Linked DNA regions of Elephas maximus indicus. The protein of the gene in region 2 interacts with the protein of the main gene of each other region in a biochemical or structural test. Links are inferred from orthologs where the notes say so. Each region holds a gene or a part of one and is shown on either strand. Other genes may lie near its edges. The genes, in order: MBP, MAPK1, GAB2 and ESR1.

Region 1 (7,349 bases), on a different chromosome or scaffold from region 2:
ATACATCGCCTCCTGGCTCCATTTCTCTGGTTAAATGTTGACTGATACAGGTTTAAATCTACTTGTAGATATCCTGGCTTCTTCTCCACCATCTGCTGAGCAGCCTGGGGTTCTCCCAGGCATGTTGTATGTTCCATCAAACACAGCTCCCAGGCCAAGGGGCTCAGGCATGACTGAACCTCCCTCAAGTGGCTATACTGGACATGTCTTATGCTTCATGGCTACTTATTAAAAATTATAGTAAGAGTAATTAAAATATACTCTTTTATTCTTTATTGACAACTGAGGCTACGAGGGGAGGACACCTAACCAAGCCATACAGCAGATCCTCACGATCTAATCATTCTGACAAAGAAACATGGTCTGCGGGAGCAATCCTTCATTAGCAGTAGTCTTTAAAACCAGAAAAAACGGAGGGTGCTCTGCAGGCCTTAGTCCGCAGAGCAGTGCAGGGCAGCAGTGAAAACCTGCAAGGAATTTGGCTCTGCCACTTGCTAATTGCGTGCCTTGGGCTGACTCCTGTGACTGATCCGGGCAATAGGATAGTATCAAGGAGCTCTGATGGCACAATGGTTAAGTGCTCGGCTGCTAACCAAAACGCTGGCACTTTGAACCCACCAGCTGCTCTGCAGGAGAAAGACCTGGCAATCTGCTCCATAAAGATTACAGCCAAGAAAACCCTACGGGGAAGTTCTACTCTGTCACATGGGGTCGCCACGAGTCAAGGGCCAAGTCGATAGCAGCTAACATCAACAACAGAGAAGGCATGGAGGCAGCTGCTTATCTTAAATGTGTTAAATTTTTAAAGAATTTAGAGAAAAACTGAAAAAATCAAATTAACCTTCAATTAACATTTAAAAGTTCAAACAGAAGTACGAAAGTAACGAGAATGGTTGATTTCAACAATTTTCGGTTTTCAGTAGATGCTTTTGATTAACACACATCCTCACACTCACCACCCACCAAGAAGCAAGAACTGAAGTTCAAAGTCACCATGGAGCGATTAAATACCAAATCACTGAGTAACTGGTCTTGTCACTGGGCAGAAGTACGGTGCTTCAGAAAGATTTTCAAGGTGGATTTGAACCAAAGAGCTTTTGTCTTCTTAAGAAGAAGAATCATTTCAGAAGAGCTAATTCTTGAGAATGACTGTAAACCAATGTTTTGCAGTAGCTTTAACTCGATTCTCCTGCCTTTTAACTTGATTTGTGTTCATCCCACTCGGAAGCAAACCTGCTGAAGTATACTTTCCCCTGGCTCCCAGGGACACACACAACTATGGTATAGGTACCCTGACAAGTCAGGTCCTGTTTTTCCAGACCTGCTCTCTCCAGGGTGTCCCATGACCCCAAATGTCCCTCGGTGATGGCCTGGAGGGGGGAGCCCCAGTTCAGGGAAGGCCCCTGACTTGTAGGAGGTCATCTGTAAAATGCTATAAAACAAGGGTCTCAAACCAGACTTCCCCCACAAAACCAAACCCACTGCTGTCGAGTCGATTCTAACTCATAGCAACCCTATAGGACAGGGTAGTATTGCCCCACAGTTTCCAAAGACAGCCTGGAGGATTTGAACTGCTAACCTCTTGGTTAGGAGTGGTAGCACCTACCCACTATGCCACCAGACTTTCCCATCACCTGGAAAATCCTGTCTCTAGCCAGGCCCCCGGTGGTGCAATAGTTAAGTGCTTGGCTGCTAATCCAAAGGTTGGTCGTTCGAATCCATGAGAGAAAGACCTGGTGATCCACTTTCGTAAAGATTACAGCCTTGGAAACCCTCTGGGGCAGTTCTACTCTATAGGATTGCTGTGAGTCAAAATCCACTCGATGACCACACGTGTAGCCAGGTCTCCTGGTGGCTCACTGGTTAAGCACTGGGCTGCTAACTGAAAGGTCGGCGGTTTGAACCCCGCCAGCAGCAACTCGATAGCAATGGTTTTTTGGTATGAGTCAGAATCGACTGGACAGCACCCAACAATAGCAGCCAGGCCCCACTGAGGGATGCTGGCAGCCTGCCAGCACACTTGCTTCTGCACGTGCTTTACCAGCTCCCAGAAGCAGCACATGTTGTTGATTCTCACACTGTCACAACTGGGAAACAGAGAACTGGGAAGGGGCCTCATTCCTGCCAGGGTCTTACTGAGCTCCATCCCCACCCCACCTTCCGAAATGGAGGCTGAAGTGGACCCTAAGAAACCAGGTGCTGCCACCAAGAGAACCCCTGAGGGCCAAGAGCCACCTCAGGTCAGCAGAGTGACCACCATACAAACAGGTTAGCCGAGGGGTGGCCGAAACCGAAAGCATCAGGGTCAGGACGGGCAGCCCTGCACAGGAGGGCGCCCTCCGTCGAAGGTGCCCCGAGCCTGCCTCAGGAAGAACAGAGCAACTCCTGCAGGTGGGCTGCCGGTGGGACTGGTAGACAGATCGTGCGCATGGGATTGCAGGTGGGCTGCAAGTGGGCTGCAGGGTGCTTGGGCCAGCCCCAGGAGCCCTGGGTGACTGACCAGAGGAAGGCGGAAGCGGGGTACTGGGACGTGTGTCGCCGCCCTCCTTCCTCAAAGGGAAACTACACTTCCTCCTGTGTGTGTGTGTGTGTGTGTGTGCGCGCGCGCGCGCAGGGAGGGGGCAGGGGGTGTCCGCTCGGCTCCAGGTGTGTAATTTGAAGGCACTAAATGTCGTACGGATCCCCCGTCTGCCCTCCCCCTGGCCGAGAGCGGCCCCTGTGACCTTTGTCCCTCTCACCCCTGAACTCTGCCCAGCCGCAGCGCCCTCTCCCCTCTCAGGCCTCTGCGGGCCCGCGACCCCATGGCAGCCCGGGGGTTCGCCTCTGGCCAGGCCAGGGGGTTGGGGGCTTGAGCTCGGCACCGCAGGGCCGCCCCCTCGCCCGGCCCTGCACAGGTGAGCGCCGCGCGCCCGGACCCCGCCGGGACCCCGCGGCCCCCACCCGCTCCGAGGGAAAAAAGGGACAAAGGGGTCCGGCCGCCTCTGTCCTCACGGTCACCCACCGGGCTGTGCTCGCTGGTCCGGGCTGCGCTCCTGCCCCTCCGGTCCCGCACCAGGTCTGGGCGCCGCGCGGGCAGCGGGTCCCAGGGCGGCCGCCGCTCTCCGGGGTCGGGCCACGGGCCGCCGGGACCGCAGGCTTGTCCTCGCTGCGGGAGGCTCGCAGACTGACAGGCCCTACTCTGAGGCCGCGCCGCTCTCCGCCCCCGCTTCCCTGCTTCCTGCTGCCAGGTAAACACCGCCTGCCGCCGGGCGCCCCACCTAGACACCTCCCCGCGCCCCAGTGCGCCCCTGTGCGAGCCCGAGGACCCGTGGCGGCGCTGCGCCGCGCTCGCCCGCTCGGAGCGCCAGTGACACGAGAACCCACGGGGGACCCGCCCCAGGAGGGTGGGACTCTAGGCTTTGGCCACAGCAGATCAGGACCTAACTGCAACCACTTGAACCTTTCCTTCTGGCTGAGCCTGGAAACCAGTCCCACGCCGCCCCCCTCGGCTGGAGGGACCTGAGATGGCATCTCCTCCATGCTGCACTGCACTGCACGCACAGGCGACGGAGGCAGAGACGCTCGCCGTGGTTCAGGGACTCCCCACTCAAACCGAACCTCCCCCAGGACCCTGAGGACCCACCAACAGTGTTAATGTGCTGATGATAATTCTAAGACAAGGAGATAAAACACAAAAACGAAACCCAGTGCCGTCGAGCCAATTCCGACTCACAGTGACCCTATAGGATAGAGTAGAACTGCCCCGTAGAGTTTCCAAGGAGCGCCGGGTGGATTGAAACTGCCGACCCTTTGGTTAGCAGCCGTAGCACTTAACCACTACACCACCAGGGTTTCCGGACAAGCAGAGTAGATAAAAAAAAAAAGAAAAACTAGTTTAGATACCTCCAAAATAGTAACGCGTTGTGCGGTATTTCCACAACAGTATAAAGATACTTGATCTAATCCTTTCCTGAGAGAAGATTGGCTAGAGGAGAGGACACGAAGGCCTGGGAGTGGGTTGGCGGTAAGAAAAGGCAGTGGAAAAGGAATGTTGGTTATACCCATTTTTCATCTGGTTGGTCTCCTGCTACCTGACTTCACGCTCACTTTAAGCGGTGGGATGGGGGGCAGACAAGAGCTGAGGGTGCACAGGACAGTGAAATCTTACTCCGGAAGTTCCCAGCCTCCCAACTCTTACCTCCCACCCCCAGGCCAGGGCATGGTGGAGTGCTGGGTCCCATGTTGCATGCGGTTGTGGCGTCACAGTCATCTCCTTCCTCCCTCCAACAGTCTCCTTGATTCATCTTGGGGTGACTGGGACGCCAGGGAGGACTGACATTCACACCCACAGGGGTGGTTTAACGCTGGGCTTGGGGGATCCCTGTTGACCACAGGAAAAAGTAACATTTGTCCTTCTGCTTTATGCTATTTCTGCTAATTTTTTCAGTGGTTTATAAACACATTGCATGTGCCAACAGTCATTTTTACACAATCCAGGCTTGCCAACCTTCAGTTAGGACTCTAAGTATTTCTAAAATTGCACCTTCCACACTTACCAAAAAAACCCAAACCCATTGCTCTGGAGTTGATTCCGACTCATGGAGACCCTATAGGAAAGAGTAGAACTGCACCACAGGGTTCCAAGGAGCAGCCACAGTTGCTAAGCACTACGCCACCACCAGGGTTTCCATCCACACTTAGTTGGTATATAACAACCATGCAGGCAGATGGCTAGATTTTTTTTTTTTTTTTTAATTCATGGTGCTACAAAGAAAAGGTAAGGACACAATACAAAGTAGTAAGACTCTTGGTCTGCCTTTAAAAGGTCCAGTCTTAGATGCTTTTCCTCCCTGTTATGGAAAGGACACAAGGTGGGGACATGGGCTAGGCAGGAGTCAGGCGCTTGGCTGCGGAGTCAGACTTCTGTGTAAAGATGGCCGTGTTCCTTTAGGAAAATGACTCGTTTGAGATTTTGCTTGAGGAAGCTTGACCTGTTCCTCGTGCTCAGTAAAACGGAAAGAACTCTATTGAAAAGTAAAAGCTAGCCGCCCAAACCCTTGTGTCTGAGATGCTTCCAAGACAATCGTCTTGCAGTACAGCCATCTCCCACTGCCCCTGGGACAACCGGAGGGCGGGAACCGTGCCCTTTACAGAGTTTGATGTCGCAGCAAATGGCACCATGTTTTATGCATGATGGGTACTTGGTGGATTTTTGTGGAGTTGAAATAAACACCAAAGCATCCAAACTACAGGGACTAAGTAAATTAAATAATTTCCATTAGACTTCAGAGTGCATATATTTTGAGTTCTTTCTCTTTCTCATTGACAGATTTATCTGTGTAATTATATTTCGTTCAGAAGAGGGTTGAGCCTCACTTTCTTCCCTAGTCTGTAATGTACGATTTGCTGGTGATAACTCACAAGGCAGATAATTTCCCTGTGCTCAACTGACAGGTGGCTATTTCACTATGAATTCTGGTCAACACTGGGTGGACCCTGGCGTGGCCACTCAGTGCAAGAAAATTAGCCGAAAGCACGCCCAGGAAGTGCAATATAAAAAAATCATGTGAACAAGAAGACGTCAGGGGCCCGCAGACCACAGCCCCCCTCCGCCCACCACATTTACCCAACCAAAAGCCACTCATCACTTCACTCTGGTGAAATACCAGTGGTGGCAGGGGCGGTGGGGGGGAGCAGGGGAAAGAGAAGGAGATTATGTAGGACTCTGGCCAGTTGGTAAAAAAGTGAAACTTCTCAAACATTTTTCTCCCATCACTTTGGGGAGAAGGCCAGGAATTCTTTTTAGGGCATGAGAAGTTGGGTATGCCTATTGGGTATCCGAGTGGTGGTTGGAAACTTATATGTTTAATTCAGAGGAGAGGGCTGGGTGGGACAGATAATTTGGGGAGTGTCAGTTATATTGGAGCCCTGGTAGTGCAGTGGTTAAGAACTATGGCTGCTAACCAAAATGTCAGCAGTTCGAATCTACCAGCTGCTCCCTGGAAACCCTATGGGGCAGTTCTACTCTGTCTTATAGGGTCACTATGTGTTGGAATCGACTCAACGGCAATGGGTTTAGATTTTTTTTTTGGTCACTCATATTAGTCTCTGGGTGGTGCAAATGGTTAAACTCTCGAATACTAACCAAAAAGTTGGTGGTTCAAATCCACCCAGAGGTGCCTCGGAAGAAAGGCCTGGCTATTTACTTTGGAAAAATGAGCCATTGAAAACCCTATGGAGCACAATTCTATTCTGATATACGTGGGGTCTCCCTGAGTTGGAATCAACTGGATAGCAACTGGTTTTGGGTTTTGGTTAGTTATATTGGTGGTGTTTTTGGTCTGGAGACTGGGCGAGCTCCCTTAGGGAATGGACATAGCCTGGCTGGAATGGGTTCAGATAGGATGGGAGGGGAAACTTGGTGATGAGGCATGACATAGTCCTTTCAGGGAGTTTTACTATCAAAGGGAGCTAAAAAAAAAAAAAGGAAGTAGCCAAATGATTACAGAAATGACTATTTTTTAAAGAAGGGGCAAATGACAGCACATTTAAAGCTGACCAGAATCACCAAGCAGAGAAGTCTCTGCCTTCCCCCACTTTCAGGTTTGAAAGTGGTGGTCAATGTCTTAAAGTTCACTTGCCCCCTTTAACCTTCTTTAATGCAGGTAGGCACAGGGGTATCCAAGTTTTGCAGGGCAGGACCATTATAAAATCTGGGGGCCTCTTTAAGAAGCTAAATACCAAAAATGTGAATTCAAAATTAGGTACAAGATCTTGGAAGGGATCTGGGTGTTTCAGTTTCAGCAGCTTTCCTGGTAATCCCCCTCTGTCTGGCTCTGTGGTCTTGGCAGTAAGAGCACAAATTAAAAAATGAGGGCACTAAGCTGCTCCTCTTAGTCTCTCCCCCTCCACCTGTTTAAACAGATGTCTTCTGGCTTCATTTCTTCAAAGACCAAGTGAGAGGGGTTAGCTGTTTCATTGATATTTTACAAATACCAGTAGCCCTCAGGGTACAGGGAGGCTTTGAAGTTTTTTCACAATACACTCACTGTCTGCAATTATAAGAAAATGACTTGTATTTGAAGATTTTGGCTAAATTGTGCAAGACAAATGGAACACAGTAGTTTTTACTGAAGCGAATTTCTGTCTGGCTTTTACCTATGTAACCTCTGAACATGTCTGATACTAATTGAGAGTGAAAGAAGGCAAAACATTGCTTAATTGTGCTGTGTATCTTTATTACTGCAAAAGATCCCTTTAAAGTGTTCAAGCAAAGATGTCACTTTGAGGACTAAAGTGCACCTGACCCAAGCCTTGGTATTTTCAGTTGCCTCATATGCATGGGAAAGCTGGACAATGAATAAGGAAGA
Region 2 (7,516 bases):
GAAAGGCCAATCACTAGAAAAGGACATCATATTTGGTAAAGTAAAAGGCCAATGAAAACAAGGGAAACCCTCAAGGAGATAGACTGACATAACAGCCACAACAGACTCAAACATACCAACAATTATGAAGATGGCAAGGATCCAGCAAATGTTTTGTTCTGTTATACGCAAGGTCGCCATGAGGAGAAATCGACTCAACTGGCAATTAATAACAACAAATGGTTCTAACAGCCTAATTGATTCTCCCACTCCAGTTTTTTTCTATCATCCCCTCCAAAATCAAAATTAACTATGTGACTGTCTCTTTTAAAAATGGTGATGCTTCCCAGTTACACAAAATTACAGTCAAACTCAGTTGGCCTTCAGAGTCCTACACAGCTTGCCACTTAAGTAGTACTTTTCCAGGATTAGATTCTGCAGCTCAAGCTGTCACTTGCTCCTATTATCTGCCTATCAAAATCACACCCACTCTTAAAGGCCCAACTCAAATCCCACTCTTCCATCTTTATATCCTCCACACAATTATTAGGAAAGGGCTCTGCACAGAACAGGCACAATGCCTAATGACCTGACTCAGGAAATGACAAAAACTGCTAAAGAATACCCAAAAATCCTTCTGGAACATTAGGTTTTTTAAAAGATCACTATTCAAATATTAACATTTCAACCAAGAAACCCTCCACAAACCCAACAGTTAATCAACATTTATTATATGCTAATAATATGCTGTGTAGAAAATCAAATTCTCACTAGTGTATTTTATCAACCTGAAGGTAAAAAGCTAAGACCCAGGATTCAAATTCTATTTATATTTGAGTTTTACTTAGGAAAGGAAAGTCACAGTAAGAGGACTTAATATTTCACTTGAATGACAACTCGGAAGGTCAAACAAGACAACAGCAGCGATAGAAATAGTTAAATCGTATTCAAACTGATAAAAATTTTATCAGGTAGAAAAATAACTTTCAACAGAAATGTAAAGATTTTCCAGTCCACATTTTAGATGAGTGAATTTTAAAAAGAAGGGCCAAAGGATGTGGTCGGCAATTCTGAGCCTCTCATGAGACACATTCACTGGCACACTTACCAGCAGGTGTTAATGGCAGCGAAATGCAGACACAGACGTAATGCTGTGGGCAGACTCCAGTACTTTATAGGGCCCTATTTTTTTTTTTATTTCTTTTAGGCCTGACCTAATTTAATTTCTTTTTTGGCTCCTAACCCCATGAATTCATGTTAACTTTCGCAGTTATATACTGTGAAGCATTTTGCTCCTGCAGAGAATGAAGATATTCAAGATTCAATAAAGTCTCTTAAGAAATAATTTTAACTAGTCTTTCTACCTAGCTAAGTAACTTCATAAAACATGGCCCCTATGTCATTTCTAAAATTATAATCATTCAAATTTGAATACATTTCAGAAATAGACTTGCTGGTAACAGTAAAACATGCTAGAATTCTGAAATTATTAATAATACTATTTAAGGAAGCAGGGTGCAATGGAAAGAGCAGCAGCATTTGAAATTGGATCTCAGACTGAATCTGAAGTCTGACACCTTACTTGTATGACCTTCGTAACTGACTTTACCTAGAAATGCATTCTCACCTGAAAGAGGGATGCAAAAAAAAAACCCCAAACCCACTGTGTGATGTCGATTTCGACTCACAGTGACCCTGTAAGGCAGTGCAGAACTGCCCCATAGGGTTCCCAAGGCTGTAATTTTTACAGAAGCAGACTGCCAGATATTTCTCCAGTGGAGTGGCTGGAGGGTTTGGTGGGTTCGAACCACCAACCTTTCTGTTAGCAGCGAAGTGCTTAATCACCACACCACCGGCGCTCCTATGAAAGACGGATACTGCTGCCTTTTCCTCCCTCTCAAGGTGGCTGTTCAAATAAAATGAGATAAAGTAATTAGCACAATACCTGCCACAAAGTGTTCAATAAATACCAGTTTGCTTTCTTCATCAAACATAAACACAGACAAGAAGATTTAGGTGTAAGGAAGGCTACACTTCTACAAGTCTTCCTCAGCACAAAACACTACAGCTAGTTCGGGCTAATAAAAACAACACAGCCTCTCATTCCACAAACGTTTCTGAGGGATCTGGATCAAGATGAAGGAGACTGACTATACGTGGTTCTACGAGAACCCCGTTAAGGCTGCATATATTTATACTGACCGCTAAAATATTGACGAGAAAAGCCCAGTCATTTTGCTAAAACAGCTCGATGCATTCGTGCAGTTAAGAGAGCGCACTTGGGGTAATGAAAAAAAAAACGTCAAATTAGGCCCAACTCCAAAAGGTTCTTTAATAGATCAAGAGGGCGAGGCTGACTTGGCCTTCGTGAAACGCTAACAGTACGATATCAAAATCCATTTTAAAACTTAGGAACTGAAATATTCCATAACCCACACTGGTGTCACTAATGCTTTTTAGAAAGCCTGCGCAGGAGAGCACCATTAAGCACCACTGAAAATATTTCATGAAGGCCGTTCGTGGAAAACTGAAGCAAGAGAAGAAAAATCATAAATTATGTTGGTTTTCTGCACACAAGCCGAGGCGAACCGCTTTCAAGGCCACCGCCACCTCCACTGACAAGCATCGGAAGGAATTCCCGGTTTTAAAATCGAACGTCAAAAAGAAGGCTACGAGGCGAGCAAACTGGGGAGGGACGGAGGGAGGGGCGACGTTTTCGTCCCTTCCCTGGGGACCGGGCTTTAAAGCCGCTGCTGCGCCGGGTCCGGGGGGCCAGGGCTCCAGGCCTCCGCCCCCCGTCTCCTCTCGGCGAGCAAAGGCCGGCCAGATAAGCGCCGTGAGCAACGCCCAGGCCCCGCCCGGGCCCAGGCCCCGGCCGGCGCGCGACCAAGCCCGGGGTCGGGGTCGCCACGGCACGAGAGGCCGAGGGCGGGCGAGGCCGCCGCTGTGTCCGCGCCGGTGGGGCGGCCGGGCCCGCGGGAGGCGCGGACACTCACCACACCATGCCGTAGGCGCCCTCGCCGATGTACGAGAGGTTGGTGTAGCGCGGCCCCACGTCGAACACCTGCCCGCGGACCATCTCCGGGCCCGCGCCCGCCGCCGCCGCCGCCATGTTGGCTGCCGGGCCGCCGCCGCCGCCGCCGCCGCCTCCGCCGCGCTGGACTCGACGCTCCGCGGCTGCCGCTCGGCTCCCGCCGCGCCTCCCGGAGGGGCCGCCTGCAGCCGGTGCAGCTGCCGCCGCTGACCGTAAAGGACGATGGAGGCCGCCGCTCAGGCGAACTGGAGAGCCGACGGCCGCTCAGACCGACTGCCTGACTGACGGGCGGGCAGGCGAGCGGGCGGAGGGCGGGGCGCGCGCCGAGGAGGGCGCCGGGGAGAGGCCAAGCAGCGTGCGCGCGGATTGGCTCCCCGCGGCCAGGGGGCGGGGCGTGCGTGGCTGGCGAAAGCGACCGGCTAGGGCGGAGCACTGCGGCGGCTGTGGAGGCGCCGCCGGCGCGGTCACGTGTGGCTGTGGGGGAGTTGCGCGCCGGAGGCGGCCCTTGAGACGCCGAAGGAGAAGGAGGCGTCGGGAGAGGTCCTACAAAACAGAGCGTGAGGAGAGACGCTAAGGAGCAGAGACAGCCCTGCAGCGGGGGTTCCTGACAGAACCAGAGAACAACCCGGGACAGCGCATGAGGCCCGACGACGCGCCACACATCGCCGGGCTTGGGACAGGCCGCGAATCTGTAGCCCACACACAAATTTAGAGGCTTCGACGCAAGGACAGAAACTGAAAGGCCTGACCGAGATGGAAAGAGACATTTACATACTGAGAAAGTGTAAAACAAATGTGAGACCAAAACGACAGACTCTGAGAGGATCTGCGAGTCAGACAGAGGTTCCTTCAATAAATATTTGTTGAACACCTACCATGCTCCTGGGGATCCGGCACTGAAAAAAAAAAAGTATACCCTCATAGAGGTTATATTCTAGACTGAAGAGGCATGCAAATATATGTAATATGCACATTGGGATAAGTACTATGGAGAAATATAAAACAGAGTAAGGGCTTAGGGAGTAGTGGGGTTGAGACATCAGAGAAAGACACTGGGCCTCTAGAGACTGAGACCCGGATTGGTAGACGGACACCCAGAAATATACATCCAACGATGGAAATGCTAAAAACAAAACATGAAGACTTAGAGAAAATGAGACGGACACACTGAGGCTCAAAGATAGTCACAAACACCAGCGATTGGAAAATAAAAATTGGAATCCTGAAGCAGGTAGAAGCCAAGAATAGCTAAGACAGTGAGAAGATAATCCATTGCTTCTGAATCACTTCCCAAGCCAACATGCAATCCAAGAGCCACCAACTGTGGACTTCCACACATCAGCAAAGATCAACTGGTCAATCTCAAAATTTGAATAAACAATTTTTTTTAACTCTGTGAGAAAAGATTGTCGCAGGCAAGAAAAGGAATAAAGTGCTAAAGCCAAAAATTTCTGTTTTGAAATATATTTAGTCCATGAAACAGAACCCAATTTTAGGAAACACTTAGTTTTTTTTCTTCATTAGAAGGGGACATTCCATCTTTTGAAGAACAGGCCAAGATAAATGGAGAGTACCATGAAATCCAAACCACAATAACCAAAGTAAAAAAACACAGCCAAAGCAATGAGAAATAGACTTGACAGTGCACAAAATCAAATCAGCAAGATAGAAGATAAGCTCAAGAAAATTTTCAAAAATACAGAACACAGGAATCAAATTCTTTAAGAGGGAAAATAATGGAGGTGGAGAACATCATGGAGATTCAAACTATAGGCATCCCCCAAAAGAAGACCAAACAAATCAATTAAAGGCATTAATAAAAAAAAAAGGTAATATAAATTAATATAACTGAAAAGATCTGAGGCGGAAAGGAAGTGAGTTCACTGGGATTCAGAAAAACTAATAAGCAGAAACGAACTCTAAGACAATTTGGAAAAATTCTTAAATTTCAAGTGTAAAGAACAAACACAGCATCCAATCAAAAAACAAAGTTATAAAAAAGCTAAAAACTTTCTCTTCAGATTCCTCCTCTGCAATATTAACGCCAAAAAAAAAAAAAAAAAAGGAATAAGATTGATAGCACCCCCAAAGGGGTAAATTGTGACCCTACATACCCTCCCTGGATGATTTCTTTCACTCCTTTGCCTTAATTCCTCCCAGAATATCCCCGTTGCTCAAAATATCTGTTTTGAACTTCAGGTCATCCTGTCCACCTGCCCACTGGACAGTTTGATGTGACGCCTCACGTGGGAAAGGTGCTTCAGCTCCACATATCCAAAATGCCATTGGGTAACTGCACAAGTTGTGTACTCACACTGCCGGAGGGTTTGAATCTTGACTGCTCCACTTAGGATCTGTAGGACCTTGGCCTTAGTTTTCTCACTTAAGAGGTACCTGTACGTCACAAATTTGTTGTGCAGCATAAATAACGTATGTAAACAGCCTGGCACATGGTAAGTACCCAATAAAGGTTATCAGTCATTATTATCAACCCCACCCAAACCTGTTCCTCAGCTTGTGCCTGTGGACAAATAGCATCACCTTCCATCCAGACACTCAAGCTGGAAGTTTGGGCGTTATCTTCAACAACTCATTCTACCTTATTTCGAATACTCCCCCGCCCGCTCCCCGCCACGCCTCCATCCCACTGGTAACACACTCCCGTAAATTCTATTTCTTAAGGTTCCTTAAATCCTTGCTACTCAAAGTGTGGTCTCCAGACCAGCAACATCAGCATTATCTGGGAGCTTGTTAGAAATGCAGGATCCTAGGTCCCACCCCAGACCTACTGAATCAAGATCTGCATCTTAAGATCTCCCAGGTGATTTGTTCACATATTATTAAACTTTCTGAAGCACTGTTTTAAATGTAGCCGCCTCATCCCCACTGCCTCTATGTTGTTTAAAGCTTCATACTCTCTCTCTTCTGCTCTCTCACCTAGGCTATCGCAACCGCCTTTCAGTTCCTCTCCCAGCTTTCACGGTTGCCCATCTCCAATTGCTTCTCCTCACTTTATCTAGAAAGCTCTTTCTGTAAGAAATTTGACCAGTTACTCTCCTTCTTAGAGCAAGTCGATAGCTCCTCATTACACTCAGAGTGAGGCCTTTGCTGACCACCCTTCCAACCTAATCTCCTCTTACTCTCTGCTCTCTGCCCTCGATGCTCCTGTCAAGCTAGCTTAGTCTTAACTTCTCTCTTGCCTTTTGGTCTTTGCACATACAGATCTCTCTCCCTGTAGCATGCTCTCTCTGTACTCTTCCAGCATTTATGGACATGTTTTAAACTACCACACCATCATGGCATGATACAACTGTGATACACTAATTTTCTCCAGGTTCCATTGGCACTAAGCAACCCACAAGTGGCTTCACTTCTGCTTTTCTGACAGGGAGCATGTGCTGACCAGAGGACAGACAGCCCTGTTCAGGTCTGTGGCAGTTACTATTCATTCTAAGATGGAGTTTAGGTATACAGTTACTGAGTTATATTAGCATGACCCAGGCCCAGAGGGAACAGTGATCTAGCTACGGTGACAACAACAACAAATTTTTGAAGTGCAAAGGTGAGATCCAGGCTCTAGAACACTGTGAGACCATGCTAAGCCACCATCTAAGTATAAGGTCTAGCTTGGATGGATGGCTAGCCATCTGAATGTCTTCTTTATTATATCTCTAGAGTGGTGACAATTCACAGATCTGCAGAATCTTAAAAAACAATGGACATTTGTTATTTTTGCCTGCTCAGCATCAATTCCTCCTCCTGGCTGCAACAACCGAATTTTTCTTTGGTGAACTGACTCTTAGGCACTCTCATGTGGTTTGGAAGGCTAACACTACCCCTAAGTTCCAAGAGTAAGCGTGTGACTCATGACTCCCCAATCAGAGTCATAGACACTGGTTTAAAAGATGGGCGTGTGATCTGATCCTGGTCAATGACGCTCAACCCCAGACTTTTTGCAGAAACTAATAGGAAAGGGTCCCTTGGCTGCTAACTGAAATGCTGGAGGTTCCAATAACACCCAGTGGCACCTTAGAGGAAAGGCCTAGTGATCTACTTCCAAAAAATCAGCCATTGAAAACCTCATGAAGCATAGCTCTACTGTGATGCACAAGGGGTTGCCATGAGTTAGAATCGACTCAATAGCAACTGGTTTGGTTTTATTGGGAAACAGGTGCTCCCTTTCTGCTGGGTGCTAGGGGAGTGGTTATGAATATGGGGTCAAACATGCCATGATGTGAGAAACAACTTCTGAGAATGAAGAAGTGACAAGGAAAAGTCGAGTTGAGAGATGGAGATAAATTCCTGATGACAATTTGAGATGTTTCTTCCATTTGAAACCACAGAGTTCTGACTAATACACTATGCAGTTAAGTCCCTTTTCTGCAAAAATTGCTCAGAATTGTACAATAAGTCACTGAGACATGAATCATGAAAAGAGAGAAAGAACTGGCAATGACCCTTGAAACTATGTAAAGGTAGAGAAATAAGTAAATAAAAACACCT
Region 3 (8,060 bases), on a different chromosome or scaffold from region 2:
TGAAGTGGAAAGGCAAATCCTAGCTGCCACAGAGCAATTAGTACAGACTCTGATTCTTTACAAGGGAGAAACTTGGAAACTGGGCTTGCTCAAACTTTTCTTTTAAATAAAGTTTATTTCCAAAAATAACCAGTTGGAAGCCCTGTTTTAAGTACCTTCAAAGATACTACTCTCTGTTATGCGCGGACTAGAGAGATATGGATGCTTCAGGGGTCCCAGCCCCTACCCGTTATCCTTCAAAGGTTGTTTGTTCATTTCTCACGACAAACATTTAATGAGGATTTATTGTGTGTGCCTTGTGCCAAGCTGGGAGAAAGAAACAGCCCTGCCCTCAAGGAACTCACAGTTCCTTGACATATTTGCAGTACACTGTGATAACCTGATTTATTAGGTCCAGTGTGAATACAAAGAAAAGAATGAATATGCTGGGGAGTAGGGATGGTGAGAGGAGCCCTGGTGGCAAAGTGGTTAAGAGCTCGAGTGGTTAAGAGCTCAGCTGCTAACTGAAAGGTCAGGTAGCTGGAACCCACCAGCCACTCCTCAAGGGGAAAAAGACTCAGCACACAGCCTTGCATACCCCATGTGCAGTTCTACTCTGTGCTGTAGGGTCGCTATGAGTCAGAGCCAACTCCACAGTCATGGGTTAGTTAGGGATGGTGTGTTTTAGGGACAGGGGACTTAATGTATTCAAGATGCAATCTAAGGTAGGAGTTGTCTCTGGGTGCAACTGATTTGCACCAGGATCTGTGCAACACAAACCTTCACCAGTGGCAGTGGAAATGTCCCGGGAGCCTAGCTGCCACAGAGCAATTAGTACAGACTCTGATTCTTTACAAGGGAGAAACTTGGAAACTGGGCTTGCTCAAACTTTTCTCTTAGAGTTTATTTCCAAAATATCTCCCACTGGGTGTAGAATCAAGTAACTTCAGACTGTGAGCAGCCACAGACAGGGAGGAAACCCAAGTAGGTTCAAATACACCCCAAGCTTACCACCAGATAGATCTCAGCCCCAACCAGATGCCAAGAGTTGACCTAAGTCAGAGGGTAATTTGATGGAGGGAACCAAGTGGGCCCAAAGCCAAGTGGGGTTAAAAAGATACATATTGCAACAAGACTGCGAGACAAGTGTCCTGCAAGTCCTCTGTTGAGGTGGCTCAGCTGGTCACACTGATCTTGCAAGCAGCACTCAGCTCTGAAATTAACCTGTCTTTTTTTTTTACTAAATCGAAGGGGAGAAAAGGCAGAAGGGCTAGGACACAGCTATCCATCCCCACCCCCTGTCCTATCCCTGACGTCAGGCTTGGCGTGGGTGGTATTAATCACCCCAGCCTGGTGTGCAGTTGAGGACAGCTCTCCTCCCAGCCCTTCCAACCCGGCTCTGGGAGCGTTCCACCAGCCATGCACCTGCCGCTGGCCACAAACCCTCAACTCCCAGACAGGCACGGATGCAGGCTGTCGCTGACAACACTCAAAGCCACAGTGCACCCTTTAAAACCCAGGCTGTGGTGGGAGGAGGGGCGGGAAGCAACAAAACGTGGTACTTACGCTTTCCTCCCAGGTGTGAATTTCTCTAACCTCTGCAATGTCCCTCCCCACGACCCTGCCCACAATAGGATGGTCATTTCCTGGAGATTTAATGAGAATATAAAATTAATGGCCCAAAGAGCTCCTTGGAGCCGGTCATTAATTCCCCCAGGAAACACCCCAAGGTCTGTAATCGAAATTGCCTAAATTATAGGCCAGCGATGCATATCCACGCAGGGCAGGGGGCTAGGTGGGGGGCAGGCAGATATCGTCCCATGTGGTTCCGGTAGGTGGCGCCTGCCTTCATGTAAATAAATCACTCAAATAATTTGTTTTCCATTTCTCCGCAGCAAAAACCAGACAGCATTAAAAAAAAAAAAAAAAGCAGGGGGTGGAGAGGACTTAGTAAAGGCCCAGACAGGAACGTTCTGTCCGAGGGCTGTTTCCAGGCCTGGCACGCATCTCAGGCTCCGAAGACTGAGCCATACCGGAGTGCAGCCAGGGAACCTCAGCTGCAGTCGGGTCTCCTGTGTGCAGACCGTGCTGGGGTTCTGTGCTAGTCACTGGCAGTCAATGAAGAGAGATGTGGGTGGGAGTGGGGAGCGAGAGAGCACACAGAAGAGCCTCTTTCTCCGACCTTTGGGGAAGGAGGGAGGTGTTACAAAGAAAACTTCCTGAAGCCTACACTCTGTGACTGCTGTGTTTTAAGGCCTCTTCTGTCATTGGCTCTGAAACACCCAACTTTTCTATTTGCACATAGAATTGTAAATAACAATATGGGGCCTTTTGGTAAACAAAAGACTCTAACGAGTTTCTGGCAAAATGCTACCTAACCTCAGCTAACCATTGCTGTACAGATGCCCAGTCTGTATCTTGAATCATGTAACTATCAAAGGATATATAATAGAAGATTAGTGTTCTAGGGAAAGATAAGGCATCTGTATGCCTGACTTGCATCACAAATCTCAGCTGCAGCCAAACCATGCAGTTTTCTCAGACTCTTTGCAATCCCTGAGACGTGGCATCATAACTCAGATGTGAATGAAGTCAGAAAGATTGTTTTATTTCAGTTGGGAGTCACTGCCTACTGATTGATTTGGCAGACTTTGAGTATTTTTATATTTACATCTTACAGGATTTCAGTGTACTTTTAAACCCAGAGGTTAAAATGGCCATAAGTCTCATGGTGGCCCTCATGTGGCTGAAGGATCTCTGAACCGAAAGGCCAAGGGAGCTCTGGTTTCATCTATAGCATGAATGTCCTGGCTTTAAATTCTGTCCAGCAGCATACTGGGCAGCGAAGAAGTCCATGAAATGTTGGGTCCCGGAGAACAGATCTTTAAATCTCCCAAGGTGCCTAGAAGGGCTAAGCACATTGTGCAGGGAATAAGTTCTGACACACTGATTGAAGTGGGTGAACATCCAACCCAGCAAAGATTTGTGAACCCAGATGGATATTCAACTGCTTGAAATAAGTAGATTAACTGCATGAAGACAGCAAAGTGAACAAAATAACCCTAGCCACAGGTTGCACAGGGCAATGTGAAATGCTGCTTCTTTAACTCACCTGTCCATAGCACAGTTCCCCATTGATAAAATGGGTTACTATTCACTTCTCAGAGCCGTGGTGGTGCATGGTTAAGAACTTGGCTGCTAACCAAAAGGTTGGCAACTGGAATCCACCAGCTGCTCCTTGGAAACTTTATCAGGCAGTTCTGTTTTGTCCTATAGGGTAGATATAGGATCACTATGTGTCGGAATTGACTTGACAGCAACAGGTTTGGGATTTTTGTTTTGTTTTTGTATTCATTTCTCAGAGCCTCTGGGTGGTGCAAACAGTTAAAACAATGAGCGGTAACCCAGTGGTTCCAGGTCTGAGGTTCAAATCCACCCAGAGGTACCAAAAAGAGACAGGCCTGGTGATTTACTTCCAAAAATCAGCCATTAAAACCCTACTGAGTACGGTTCTACCCTGACACGCAGGGAGGTTGCCATGAGTCAGAGTCCACTGGGCAACTGGCTTGGTATCCACTTCTCAGAGAACTTAGGGTTGGAGCTACGTCTTAATGCTGCTTGTAAAGGTACCTTGCAAATTGAAGAGTTCCTACCTAAGGTATTTTTTTCCCTCCAGCCTCCCCCGCGAAGGGCTGGTGTTGTCAAGTATGTGTTCCGCGTACTTTATCTCAGTTAAACCTCACTACGATTCTGCAAGAGAAGTGCCATTATACAATTTACATATGAGCCCCCTCTCACCCTTCCAAAGGTCTCATAGTGCATTTGAATGAGTTAGAACTCTGGAGAATTTTGACCCTAATTTTTTATACTTTCCTCTGTGACACCATGCTTTCCAATTCACCTTGGAATGTTGTTGGTAATAGGTGCCGTCAGTGGCTCCTGACTCATAGGGACCCCATGCACAACACAATGAGACTACATTGCTCTGTCCTTCCCCATTTTCACAGTCCCTGCTATGTTTGAGCCCATTGTTGCAGCCACTGTGTCAATCTTCTTGAGGGTCTTCCTCTTTTTCTCTAACCTTCTACCAAGCATGATGCATTTTTGTTTCCTTGATTCTGCAAATCATACAAGTTTTCTTCTACTGAATTCTGTTCTTCCAGAGGCAGTGTAGGAGCCAGCTGGACTTTGTTTCCTGACAGTAAGAGGCTCCCAAGCTGATACGCAGACATCAAAGCCCTCTTCCCACTTGAAAGCAGATGAGCAGGATTCCGCCTTCCCTCTCACAGCCCTGGAATTAGGAATCTGGCTCTGCCAGGTACCAGCTCTGGGACCTTAGGCTGTCTGTAAAATGGGAATAATCTTCCCCGCCCAACTTTTAGTTTGCTAAGACAATCATGTGAACAGTGAATGTAAAAGCGCCCAGAACACAGAAGATCTGCTTCCTTCTTTCCTTCTCCCGCCAAGGGGGTGCGAGAGTTAATGAAACTCTTGATGGGAAAAAGCGGCAGACTAATTCCAGCCGGAACCTGACCCGCTGAAACCTGAAGCTCTGGGAAAGGATAGGTAACGCTAACAGGACTCGGGTCCCAGCCAGGTCGACCCTCTGTGAAAAATCGATCCTCAGTCGAAGTCTCGCAGCCCCCTACCACTCACCCTCCCCCCAGGGGCGCGGCCACCTCCCCCAGCCCTCCCGGGCTTGCTGCTTGAAGCTTCAGGGAAAAAAAGCAAGACCTCGGGGGCGCGGCCGGCGACAGCTTGCGGCGTCCGCAGCGACCTCGGGCCTCCCGGGCGGCCAGGCAGTGTTTGCGTCTTTGAAGGCGGCCCGCCGGGGGGCGCGGCGGGCTGTGGGCGTGGCGAGCGCGCGCCGCCGCTTCCTGCTGGGGCGCCCCCTCCGCGGCCGGGCCCGAGTGCGCTGGGCGCGGGCGCGCGAGCCAGAGCGGGCGCGCGCGAGCGAGGCAGCCGGGCTCGCGCCGCGCCGCCTCGTCCTCGCCCCGCGGCCGCCGGCGGCCCCGGCCCGTCCCCTCCCCCGCGAGCTGCGCACCGCCGGCCGGCCGACCCAGCGACCCGCGCCCGCGCCCTCGTCCCCCGACCCGGCCGCGGGCTCCAGTCGGCCGGCAGCATGAGCGGCGGCGGCGACGTGGTGTGCACTGGCTGGCTGAGGAAATCGCCCCCCGAGAAGAAGTTGAGGCGCTATGTGAGTGCGGACGGCGAGCGGGCGCGGCCGCCCAGGGCGCGGGCTGGGGGCGCCCCACCGCCCTTGAAGGGGCTGGGGGCTGGCCGAGGGGCCGCGCCGACGAGGGGCGGGGCGCGCCTTTGGGGTGGAGAAGCGGCTGGTGCGCCCCGCGCCCGGGGGATGTGTGGGGCACCTGCACACCTGTCACAGGTGCGCCTCCGAGGGGCGGGGCGGGCGGGGCAGCAGGTTGAGGCTGCGGCTCCTCCGCTTGGCGGGCGCGTCGGCGGCACCTCCCCAGCCAGCCTGCCTGTAAACTAAATACAGTATTGAAGTTTGTATTGATTGTTTTTGGAGACCGAGAGAGTTGATTCCCTGGGCTGGGGGAGCATAGTAACCCTGAGTGGGTTTTGCATGTGGGGTTGGAGGAGTGGGCGGAAGAGGGGGGCGCAAGCTGTGGGGCCGCGTGGTCCAGCCCCCACAAAGGACGAGGCGCCTGACACCCTCTCCCTCTTCCCTTTCTCTGCCCGCCCTCCCGGGTAGCCGCCTGCTTCCTTCCAGTCCACAGCCTCTGTCTGCATCATGGGCAGCGTCAGCGGCATGTGCAGCCCTTGTATTAAGTGACTCATTTGTTTGTCCCCCCTTCTTTCTCTTTATTCTGCATGTCTCTCACATACACCCCCCCCCCATGGTGACATTGCAGTTTGGTCTCCTCTAACTGGCCCAGGTTTTGTGTTGTGCAGCCCTTGGTGTCTGGGGTCGGAAGAGATAAGATTCTCAGTTGCCAGGTGGTGCTAACCGACATTGTTTACTGAAATTGCTGGGACAGCCGCTCCCCTCTAGGTGAGGAACTAGCAACATCAAGGAGGAGGTAGTACAGTCTGGTGCTGAGCGGTGAGGAGTTCTGGCTTTTTTTTTTTTTTCTCCCACCAGAGGATGTATGTTCCTGTAGAGGTCAAAGTACAAGACGATGCCAGTCACAGAGATTTGCCCGAAATCGGCCCTGGGGTAATCTCAGGAGGAAGGATCCCGGGAGGAAGGTCGCTAAAGGGTCTCAAGGTCTCCCATCTTGTCCCCCTTCACTTCTTATGAAATGCCCTTGCTAGACTGATTCCTGGTGCTTGACTCTCTGGGATCACTCCCACAGCCTGGAAGTGAGCTGCTGCCTTCCAGCTGCAGTGCATCAAGGGAGCTCTGAATAGACCCTGCCCTCTGTCAGCTGCACCAGTGGCTGTCCATGGGGGGAGAGGCAGAAGCTTACCAGAGTTTCCTGTCTTGGCTCCCCAGATCAGAACCAAGGGACTTTTGGCCTCTGGACTGAGGAAGTGACATTCTGTTTTTCAAAGGAAGTGTTGTTGTTGGGGAGTGCAAGAGAGTGTCTGTGTGTGTGTGTGAGAAAATGAAATCGGGCTCTTAGATCATTTGCTGGGGAAAATCTAAGGACTCGCACATGACTTTTCAAAGCGGACGTAGATTTAAAAATACAGTAGGAATTAGGGGATGAAGTGTTTGACTCAGTTTTAAAGTGCATTTTCCAGGGTACCCGTGTAGCCTCAGCATTATAATTGCTAAGAAGGAAATTTTTTCCACATCAGGGTTTTATCAGTTCATCAGGGAAGTTGAGTTTTATATTAGGGTTAAGGAGGAATTTGTAATTAACATTTTTATAAATATCGAAAAAACGAAATCTCTGGCTCCGAAAAGCTTCCAAAAATTATCAATTGAAGTGATTTCATACCAGCTAGTAGAGTGTCAATAAAAATGTGACCCTTAATTGTCAAAGTAGAATACTACCCTAAAGAACCTTGAAATTTTCTTTTTGAAACATTTTGCAAACAATTTAACACTGTATCTACATTGGACTGGTGACTACTTCAGCCCTATTACCCAGACTCTCTATGACCCATTTCTTGGGTATTTTTGTTGCTGGGCAAAAATTTAGTTCAAAATAATCAAGTTTGGAGGCTTTTGGGTCAGGACCTTTTTCACATGTTGGAACTAGTTGACACCTTGAAGTCATAATAACGATCTTAGTCTATTTCTAATCTTCCTTGCAGCTCTAGCCCGCAAGGCAACTGACCAAACCAGCAACAGCTTTTCTTAGACTAGGGTATCATGTGCTCCATTGGTATGGCTGGAAGCCTTTCCTGCTGTGAAAGTTCAGTTCCCTGGTTGAGTCTGTGTCGTTCTGTATAACCCTAAACTCCTGAGGAATAGTCTACCTTTACATGTACTTTTCCTTGGTGTTGAGAATTTCTGCACCCTGTTGTAAGTTAGAACTCTGCTGGTTCTCTGTTCATTGTAGGTCCAAGTTGGTTAGAAGCAAAGTTGGAATGAGTTATTTCTCAGCTTCATTGCCAAACCAAAACAAGCAAAGAAAGAAACCAAACCCATTGTCATCCAAGATAGCAGTTTGGAAAATAGATTACAACTATTTAAAACTTTTTAAAAACCTACCTTTTTGGGTTAATTTCAGATGGTGGTAAGTGTAGGAGGAAAAAACAACTTGGGAGAAGCTTTGGCAAGTGTTATTGGAGATTAGGGATTGTCCCCATTGACATTTTCTGTTTTATTAATCATGTGAAAGTATTAAAGGTCTATCCAGTATTTTCTGTGTGCCCAGAGGAATTGCAAATAATGACCTCTGGAAAATGGTGAGTATTGCCCTCTGGGGTGTCATGACGTTGTTGCAGTGAGAGGTTGACAGGAGCAACCGAACACCCCTCCTTCAGACCTTGTAAACTTAAAGGCCCTTCTCTAGTATGTATGTATCTGTATCTGTGTGTATAAAACCAGCTGCTGTCGCGTCGACCCCGACTTACTGCAGCTGCGTGTGTGTCAGAGTAGAACTGTGCTCCATAGCATTTTCAGTGGCTGATGTTTTGGAAGTTGATACCCAGGCATTTCT
Region 4 (7,365 bases), on a different chromosome or scaffold from region 2:
AGATGAGGTTTAAGTTTTAACTGTATTATCTGTCACTACTACCTGAAGGTAGGTTGCACTTTTTTTCTTTGAGGAATAAAACCTTTATCCCTATAAATGTCAACTCGAGCTTCAATATTGAATAAAGAACAGTAATGAGTCACTGGGTATTGGTCATATTATGGCTCTATTTTCAAATATCCTGGACCTCTACGTTGACAACAGGACTGCTGGGCTGTGTGCCTTCTGCTACAAAAATTAGCTCCTGGGATCTGGGAGGAGTGTTTAGTTTACCTAAATTCTTCCATAGCCTTTATTGCCAGGTACCCAAGAGAGTCCTCGTCCCTTGCAATCAGAAGAGCGTAACTAAAACATGAACATAACTAAAACACCGGGACATTTGAAGGAGTCCCTGGTGCAAATGGTTAATGCCCTTGGTGCTAACCAAAAGTTTAGTGGTTGGAGTCCACCCGGAGGTGCCTTGAAAGAAAGGCCTGGCAATCTGCTCCTGAAAAATCAGCCATTGGAAATCCTGTGAAGCACTGTTCTGCTCTGACACACACGCTGTTGCCACGAGCTGGAATGTACTCCAGGGCCCCTGGTTTGGTTTGGCCTGAAAGCAGTGGACTCGCTGTAACCCTGCCAGTGGCCACTGCAGCTCTAGCCAGACCCTCCCAAGCAGCCACGGCTCCAGGGCTTGCTATCTGCTAACCTTTGCTTACTGGTTTTCTCTGCAACAATCCCCTCACCCTGTAAATTCACTTGATAATAGCCTAGGCTTACTGTGGCCTCCACTCTACTCCAAGACATCTTTTCTGTTTGTGTCTCTGCAGCTCAAGAGCTCAGTCTAAGTTTCCAAAGTCATACTCTGAGATCTCGAATGTGATTGGCCAAGTTCATCTTTTCATGTTAGGTCATGTCCTAGGTCACTGGCCAGCCTATAGAAGGCTGCTCTTTGGCCAGGTCCCCATCGCTGCCCAATTAGCTGTGATCAGAAGTGGGGGGTGGGAGTCACACGGATTTGACTAGGTTGTCTTGGCAACTGCAGCTGACAACCGGCCAATCTCTCTTAGAAAGGTGAGCGAGTGGGCGGTCAGGTACTGATTGCTATCTCTAGGCAAGCAGAGTTTCCATTTTGGTTGCTCTTCATGAGGAAAACTAGAAGCTCAGAGCTGCTTTTATGGTGTGATTGAATTGAGATAGTGCTTTGAGTAGTACCCAATGGAAACAGCTTTGCTAATAAGGACAAGTGAAGAATTTGGGCAGTTAACTATGTAACTAAGTCCCAAACTCCGCTATCATCTTGGTTGTCTGACAAAAACACACTCTCCAATTCAAAAATGTGATTTTCTTTTCTTTTACTTTAGCCTGAATCACCCAAAACACAACAGTTTTTTGCTTCAATGACCCAGATTGCGTCAATTTTCTGCTTTATTTGCTTGCGGAAACCAGGATGTTAGTGGTCTTCTAGAATGGGAAAACTTATTTTTTAAAAAAAGTTTGGAAGCTGGAAAAAATTCTAGAATTTATAGATTTCATTACTCTAAGTTAATTGACACACAATATGACACCATAAAGGCATGTGTGTGATAACCTCGCCCTCTTTTTTTAAAAAAAATAAAGGTGAAGTAGATAGCATGATTCGATAAAATGTCAGGCTTTGTTTTTCAGTGTGTATGAGGAAACCAAGCACAAGTGCATGGCGCTTCTCTTTGAATTATATTTATGAGATTGAGTTTGCCTTGTGTTTATTCCCATTATATTATATTATGCTGCCTTATTTTAAATTGTTCGTTTCTTATTGTTTTGTCATTATTCAGTTTAATAGCGATAAATGCAATTTAAATAGAAACTTTACCTCAAAGGGAATTTTTCTTTTTTCTATAAGAAGGCACAGAATATTTTAAAACAAGGTTAATCCAAGCACATATTTTTATTTTTAGTGATTCAATTAGAACGGAAAACTTTAAAATTATTCATAATAACCTTTCTATATCTATCTGATAAAACCATTCTTACCCATTCACAGATAAACCTCCAAACTTTTTTTGCCCCATGTCATCTACAAGGCAAGAGTGTTCCCATAGCATATTCCTATTTGCAATTCCCTGTGTGCTGGCTCTGATTCCACCAAACCAAAGAAAACCCAGTTGCCATACAGTTCAACTCATGGCTACCCCATGTGTGTCAGAGTAGAACTGTGCTCTCTGGGGTTTTCAATGGCTGTGACCGTTTGTAAGTGGGTTGCCAGGCCTTTCTTCTGAGGCACATCTGGGTGGATTAGAACTGCCAGTCTTCATGGTTAATAGCCAAGTGCTTAACCATTTGCTCTACCCAGGAACTCCTCTGATTCCATAGTGGAGTGTTAAAAGCATGGGTCCTTGAATTGAACCACCTGAGGTTGAATCCTGGCTCCAGCTGTGAAATCTTCATACAGGTACTTAATCTCAGCATCCCAAGGTTTTCTCATCTGTAAAATGGGTTTGTGATAGTACCTACCTCATTGGGTTGTTGTGAAAGTGCTTAGACTAGTAGTTGGCCCCTAGTATGCACCCAATTTGCTATTATTTTTATTCTCTCTCTGGAGAATGCACATATTGGAATGCAAATGAATGATAGTAATGTTCTTTTAAGGGTAATCACTCTAATTCATAATTTATATTATGCTTAAATTTACATTTTCCAGTAAAGAGGAAATAATCTTAACCTTCAGTTCAGAATCCAGTGGATGTCCTATTTTGAGAACTGTTGCTCTCAGTAATTTTCTTCTCTGTACTGATGTGTACCACTGATTTTTAACAAATAGCTAGATGCTGTTTGCAAAGTGTAGTTCACCCATTCTGGCAAATATAATAATTGAGGGATTTAATTAAAAGATATTTTGCTTTCAAAAAGTTTAAACTGTTCAAAACATTTATTAAATTATTTACCTTTCATCAGAAATCATAATAAAAGTGATACAATCTAATAAGACCTCCAGAATGTATTAGTCAATGTGACTCTTTGTTAGTGAATCGTTGAACTTTTGTGGTTGTTAAATCAAAATGAAATATTTTACATATTAGCTAAAATGTCTCACGCTCTATGTTCCAGGGAAATTATCTTAGGAAAATCTGTATATTCAAGCTGTTCTATCTATGGTCTACCTCACAAGTATAGAGAAGATTACTTGAAGACAGTTAAGAACATGTATTTCAGAATGTTTTCAAGGGGACACATCTCGTGCCAATCACCTGGGATGGGTTATTTGTATGTGTGTGTATGCGCGTGAATGAATTGCATAAGATAGTTCCTAACAGTGCGGGTGTAGCTAAACCAAATAAGGTCTGTTTGACTCCTTTCTCAGTTATCCTATTTATCCATTTATTAAACACATACACACAGAGAGGGAGAGAGAGACAATGATTTGAGTTAGGCAAGGTTTTATTTTTTGAACAGTTTCACTGAGATAGAATTGACGTATAATCAAGTGATTATGATAGTTTTGGTTTTCTTTTTCCCAAGCCAGTTTTGAGTCTCACCTCTTACCCAGCAGATGGCCATTTGCATTTAGAGATTTTAGGAAGCTCAATAGCAAGGGACTCCTGCCCCTCCTTTCTCCCCCCCGGCATTCTCATTTCCAGAAAACCAGCCTTTCTCCAGGCTTGTAAAGTAGAAAAAGTGAATCAACTTTTAAAAATCCTTTAAACTACATGCTGCATAGACCACGAGCTGACTATAAATGATTAAAATCCCAATATTATTTTTTAAAATTTCAATATGATTTTTTTAAAGCTCATTTTCGATTTCAGGATTTTATCTCAGTGTAAAAAGACAGAGAGAGGGAAAAAAAATAACAAGCAAACCCTTAATCTGTTGCCGGAAATGCCGGACAGTTTAGGACATAAGATCATGTGACAGCAGGAGGGGCTCAAAAGCCAGGCAGAAGGTAAACCTGTGCAGGTTATTAAAGTTAAGAACCGAATTAATCAGTGACGAGAAGTGCAGAGCCGGCTGGTGAGGCAATGGCTGCATGAGAACGTGGAAACCACCCCCCCCCCAAAAAAAACTCGCCCAAGACGCGTCCTCACCCCCGGTTTTCGCTGTAATTAATTTTGAATTAACACACTTTATGTGCTGAATACCTGCTTTATTTACTTATTTTTTTCCAACTACACACGCTTGTCTTGGCTCCAAGGTTTATCAGAAACAAAGAAGAAATAGGCTGGATTACATAAAAATATGTTTCAGGCAGATTAACACATTACTTATTCCTCATTAAAGATCTGTCTTAACCAAAGAGCTAAGAAGTTTGAATCAGGCCTGGCTTGGAGAAAGGCGGCCACCCCCCTCTTCTCTTTCTCCAAGGCGATTTTCCAATCCTAGTCAAATGGTGGTGCTAGTTCTTTATTTTTGAGTGGCTGCATTTCCTAATTTCATGGTCGTAGCAGCCTGTGTACAGGCTCAGAACGGCTCTCCCCCCAACTGAAAATGCAGACTCCAGGCTCAGAAGCTCCTCACCGGGCTTGAAAGGGTCCCACTCCTTTCTCCTGCCCTTTCTATAGCATCAGAGGACACTGTCTGAGTGACTTTCTTCTCTACAAGTAGGTATTCTGTTTTCTTCTCAATTTCTTTCCTTTTTTTTTTTTTTTGCTATGTCTGCTACTGTTTACAAGCGTGATGTAACTTTAGAGCCTACCTCTCACATTAAAAGATGTTCGTTTTTCTCTGAATGCTCCGGGGGTATTTTGCAAAGTCGCTGGCAAGCCTTGCTACCATGGAAAAATGTGAAATGGAAGCTCGGTACAGTGGAAATCCACTTTTGGAGTAACATTCGGCTGAGTCAGAGAGCTGCAGTTACCGTTTTCCGAGCGCAGCGCTGACAGGCTGCCCGCCCGCCCCAGATAACGAATATTTATTGGATCCTGCTCTAGTGATGAGGTTCTGGATCTGGGAAGCGTGTCGGAAACTTACAAGTTCTTGATTTGTCTGCTCACAGGCTAGCAGGAGCATACGACCTGTTTTCTTAATCTTGGGTACTGTAACTCATGGGAGTGTGAACCAAGCAGGCTGAATAAGCCGTTATTTGCTTCCTGAAAGCAGTGGAGTTTTCTGACAAGCTTCACAATCTTGCAACACAAGGTGACACCCTGTCTTTAAAGCGCCCTATGGTTTGAGGCCAGTCCTTTTGAGTCCTGCAACCTCAGCCTTCTCTGACGTGACAGACCATCGGTCACCTTTTGCAGGATGGTGTGTACTGGAGCGTCTCCGCATGAGCAGGAGTTCCTTGCGCCGCGATGTGGCAGGCACAAAAGCCAGGACAGACTACTTTCGTTTTGGCTAGAGGGATACGACACATTTCAGGAAATGTGCGTTAAGTTCTAAGCTTCATGCTTTGTCTAGAAGGTGACAAGTTTTTGTTCTCGGACAAGCCCATAGAAGCGAACTTTTTTTTTTTTTTTTTTTTTGCACTAACTGTATGGTTTGGGTTTTATCAGAACTTAGAATCATGGCACAGATTCCCGTACAAAGGTGCCAGATTTTTAACAGCTTTATGGGCCGGATCTAATAGACGGGCACAGTGACTCCCAGCATGTAGTGGCTGGGAAATTCCTCTGGTTTTGAACTTGATATAGATGTCTTTATATTTCCATGTTGTCAGTGAACTTGTGAATTAGAGGCCTTCGAACTGAATCGTAAAATGCACAGAGAAATGAAAGAAGTGGAGTTGGTTGAGAACTTCCCAGATCTTCTACTCTATAAAATTTCTTTCTGTTTCTCCAAAGCCAATGTTTGCTCCGATTTTGCGAATATTCCTTGAAGACCGTCCACTAGGCCTTGAAATGCCTGGATCTAATATGGTAGAAGTTGTTAGATTTTCAAAGAAATTAGCAGTAACAAATAATTTAGGTATCGGAAGCATCTCATGTAAGGAAAAAAAAGCTACATTTTGAATACAAATACAAAAGTCATATTTATTAGCAAGATATTTTTCTTAGACAGTTGGAAATATTTGTTTTATTTCATCACTCTTGGAAAGTCATGGAAAGCTCTCATGTCTTAAAGTTGCAGCAAGAACAAAGTCAAACAACCATCTTTTATTTCAAATAGCTATCTTTTACTTTGCTAGAAAGCTTAGACTTCTGCTCAGACCTTCCACGGTGAATAACCCTTTGCTGAGGAGTCAGACATTAAATAGTTCCATTCAAATTCACAGGGGACAACTAGGGCTTTGGAATCCAACAGGGCTCAATCCAAACCAGAACTCCCCACCGCTTTCTAGCTGTGTGAGTCAGGACAAATTATTTCACCTCTGGCCTCAAATTCCTCATCTACAAAGTAAGGATAGTAAGTGTAGCCGCCAGATGGAATTGTATGGAATAAATGAGATCAAGCCACTCATTAAACCACTCTTGCAATCTTCTTCAAGGGCTAGAAACTCAAATGAGGATGCCATTTTTATTCCAGCCCTACTACGGTGCCTGATACAGTATTTAATACATGTTGGCTGATGAATGAATGAAACTCATGGTCAGCACTGTAGCTGCTAGGAGCTTTTATCCATCTGACTATAACTGGTAACTAGACCTGGGGAAAAAAAAAAAAAAAAAGGGTTGGAAATCCACCCAGCTGAGTATGCCACTGGCTGAAATGTTGTTGCTTTTGAAATGGGCATAAAGTGTTGGAAGAGAGAGTACAGAAACTTCCAGCATCCTTCCCTCCATGTTTCTTCTCCTTCGTGACTGTGAGGATAGCCACATTCTTATGAGGAGAGCATGTCAAAAAACGTAGAAAAGGTGTGTCACCTTCATTTATACATCAAAAGAAGCATTTTGCTTCTCTGTTAGGTAATGCTTTCCCCCAGGCATGCAGAGTTGTATGTGAACTTTTAATTCAGTGTGATGCCTAAGACCTGAGACAGTCTCTTTTCCACTAGCGGTAACATAGATTTAGTGCCAATCAGGGAGTAGTAATAGCAATATTAATACTGAACATTTAGGGAGCTCTTACTTTGTCCAGTGCTTTTTTATAGGTAATTATCACATTTCACCCTCACAACCACCCCAGGGAGTCAACATTATTGTTCCAGTTTTACAAATTAGGAAACTAAGGCTTTGGGAAGTAAGTAACGCATCTGATGCCATACAGTGTTATAAGACTGGAAGCTGAATTTCTGTAATTCCAAAGCCCACGTTCTTAGCCACAGACACTATTATTTTTTTTAAGTATTAATTTGTAAAGTTTTTGATAAATAAAATCCTTGTCTTAGAGAAGTAAGCTGAGCATCCAAGGATTATATTTATATGAGATAATGTCATACCCTCCCTAAGCCTCAGTGCCTTCATATGTAAAATGAGAATCATATCTGATGTACAGACGTTTTATGGATACTAGTGAGGGCTAGGG

The links.
Region 1: of the proteins of MAPK1 (region 2) and MBP, one has a biochemical effect on the other in vitro, tested with the Homo sapiens proteins (16 studies listed by BioGRID and IntAct). The link is inferred for Elephas maximus indicus from reciprocal best matches to the Homo sapiens genes MAPK1 and MBP.
Region 3: of the proteins of MAPK1 (region 2) and GAB2, one has a biochemical effect on the other in vitro, tested with the Homo sapiens proteins (2 studies listed by BioGRID). The link is inferred for Elephas maximus indicus from reciprocal best matches to the Homo sapiens genes MAPK1 and GAB2.
Region 4: of the proteins of MAPK1 (region 2) and ESR1, one has a biochemical effect on the other in vitro, tested with the Homo sapiens proteins (3 studies listed by BioGRID, with this or other methods). The link is inferred for Elephas maximus indicus from reciprocal best matches to the Homo sapiens genes MAPK1 and ESR1.

Annotation. Positions count from the first base shown.
Region 1 is NC_064829.1:84,281,133-84,288,481, forward strand, and holds the start of MBP (myelin basic protein), read right to left. Parts: upstream 3,090-7,349; 5' UTR 3,002-3,089; intron 2,392-3,001; exon of another isoform or gene 2,048-2,391; intron 1-2,047. UniProt on the Homo sapiens protein: The classic group of MBP isoforms (isoform 4-isoform 14) are with PLP the most abundant protein components of the myelin membrane in the CNS. They have a role in both its formation and stabilization.
Region 2 is NC_064840.1:20,789,023-20,796,538, reverse strand, and holds the start of MAPK1 (mitogen-activated protein kinase 1), read right to left. Parts: upstream 3,325-7,516; 5' UTR 3,092-3,324; coding exon 2,976-3,091; intron 1-2,975. UniProt on the Homo sapiens protein: Serine/threonine kinase which acts as an essential component of the MAP kinase signal transduction pathway. MAPK1/ERK2 and MAPK3/ERK1 are the 2 MAPKs which play an important role in the MAPK/ERK cascade.
Region 3 is NC_064825.1:43,710,633-43,718,692, forward strand, and holds the start of GAB2 (GRB2-associated-binding protein 2), read left to right. Parts: upstream 1-4,991; 5' UTR 4,992-5,101; coding exon 5,102-5,176; intron 5,177-8,060. UniProt on the Homo sapiens protein: Adapter protein which acts downstream of several membrane receptors including cytokine, antigen, hormone, cell matrix and growth factor receptors to regulate multiple signaling pathways.
Region 4 is NC_064819.1:223,110,238-223,117,602, forward strand, and holds the start of ESR1 (estrogen receptor), read left to right. Parts: upstream 1-4,046; 5' UTR 4,047-4,562; intron 4,563-7,365.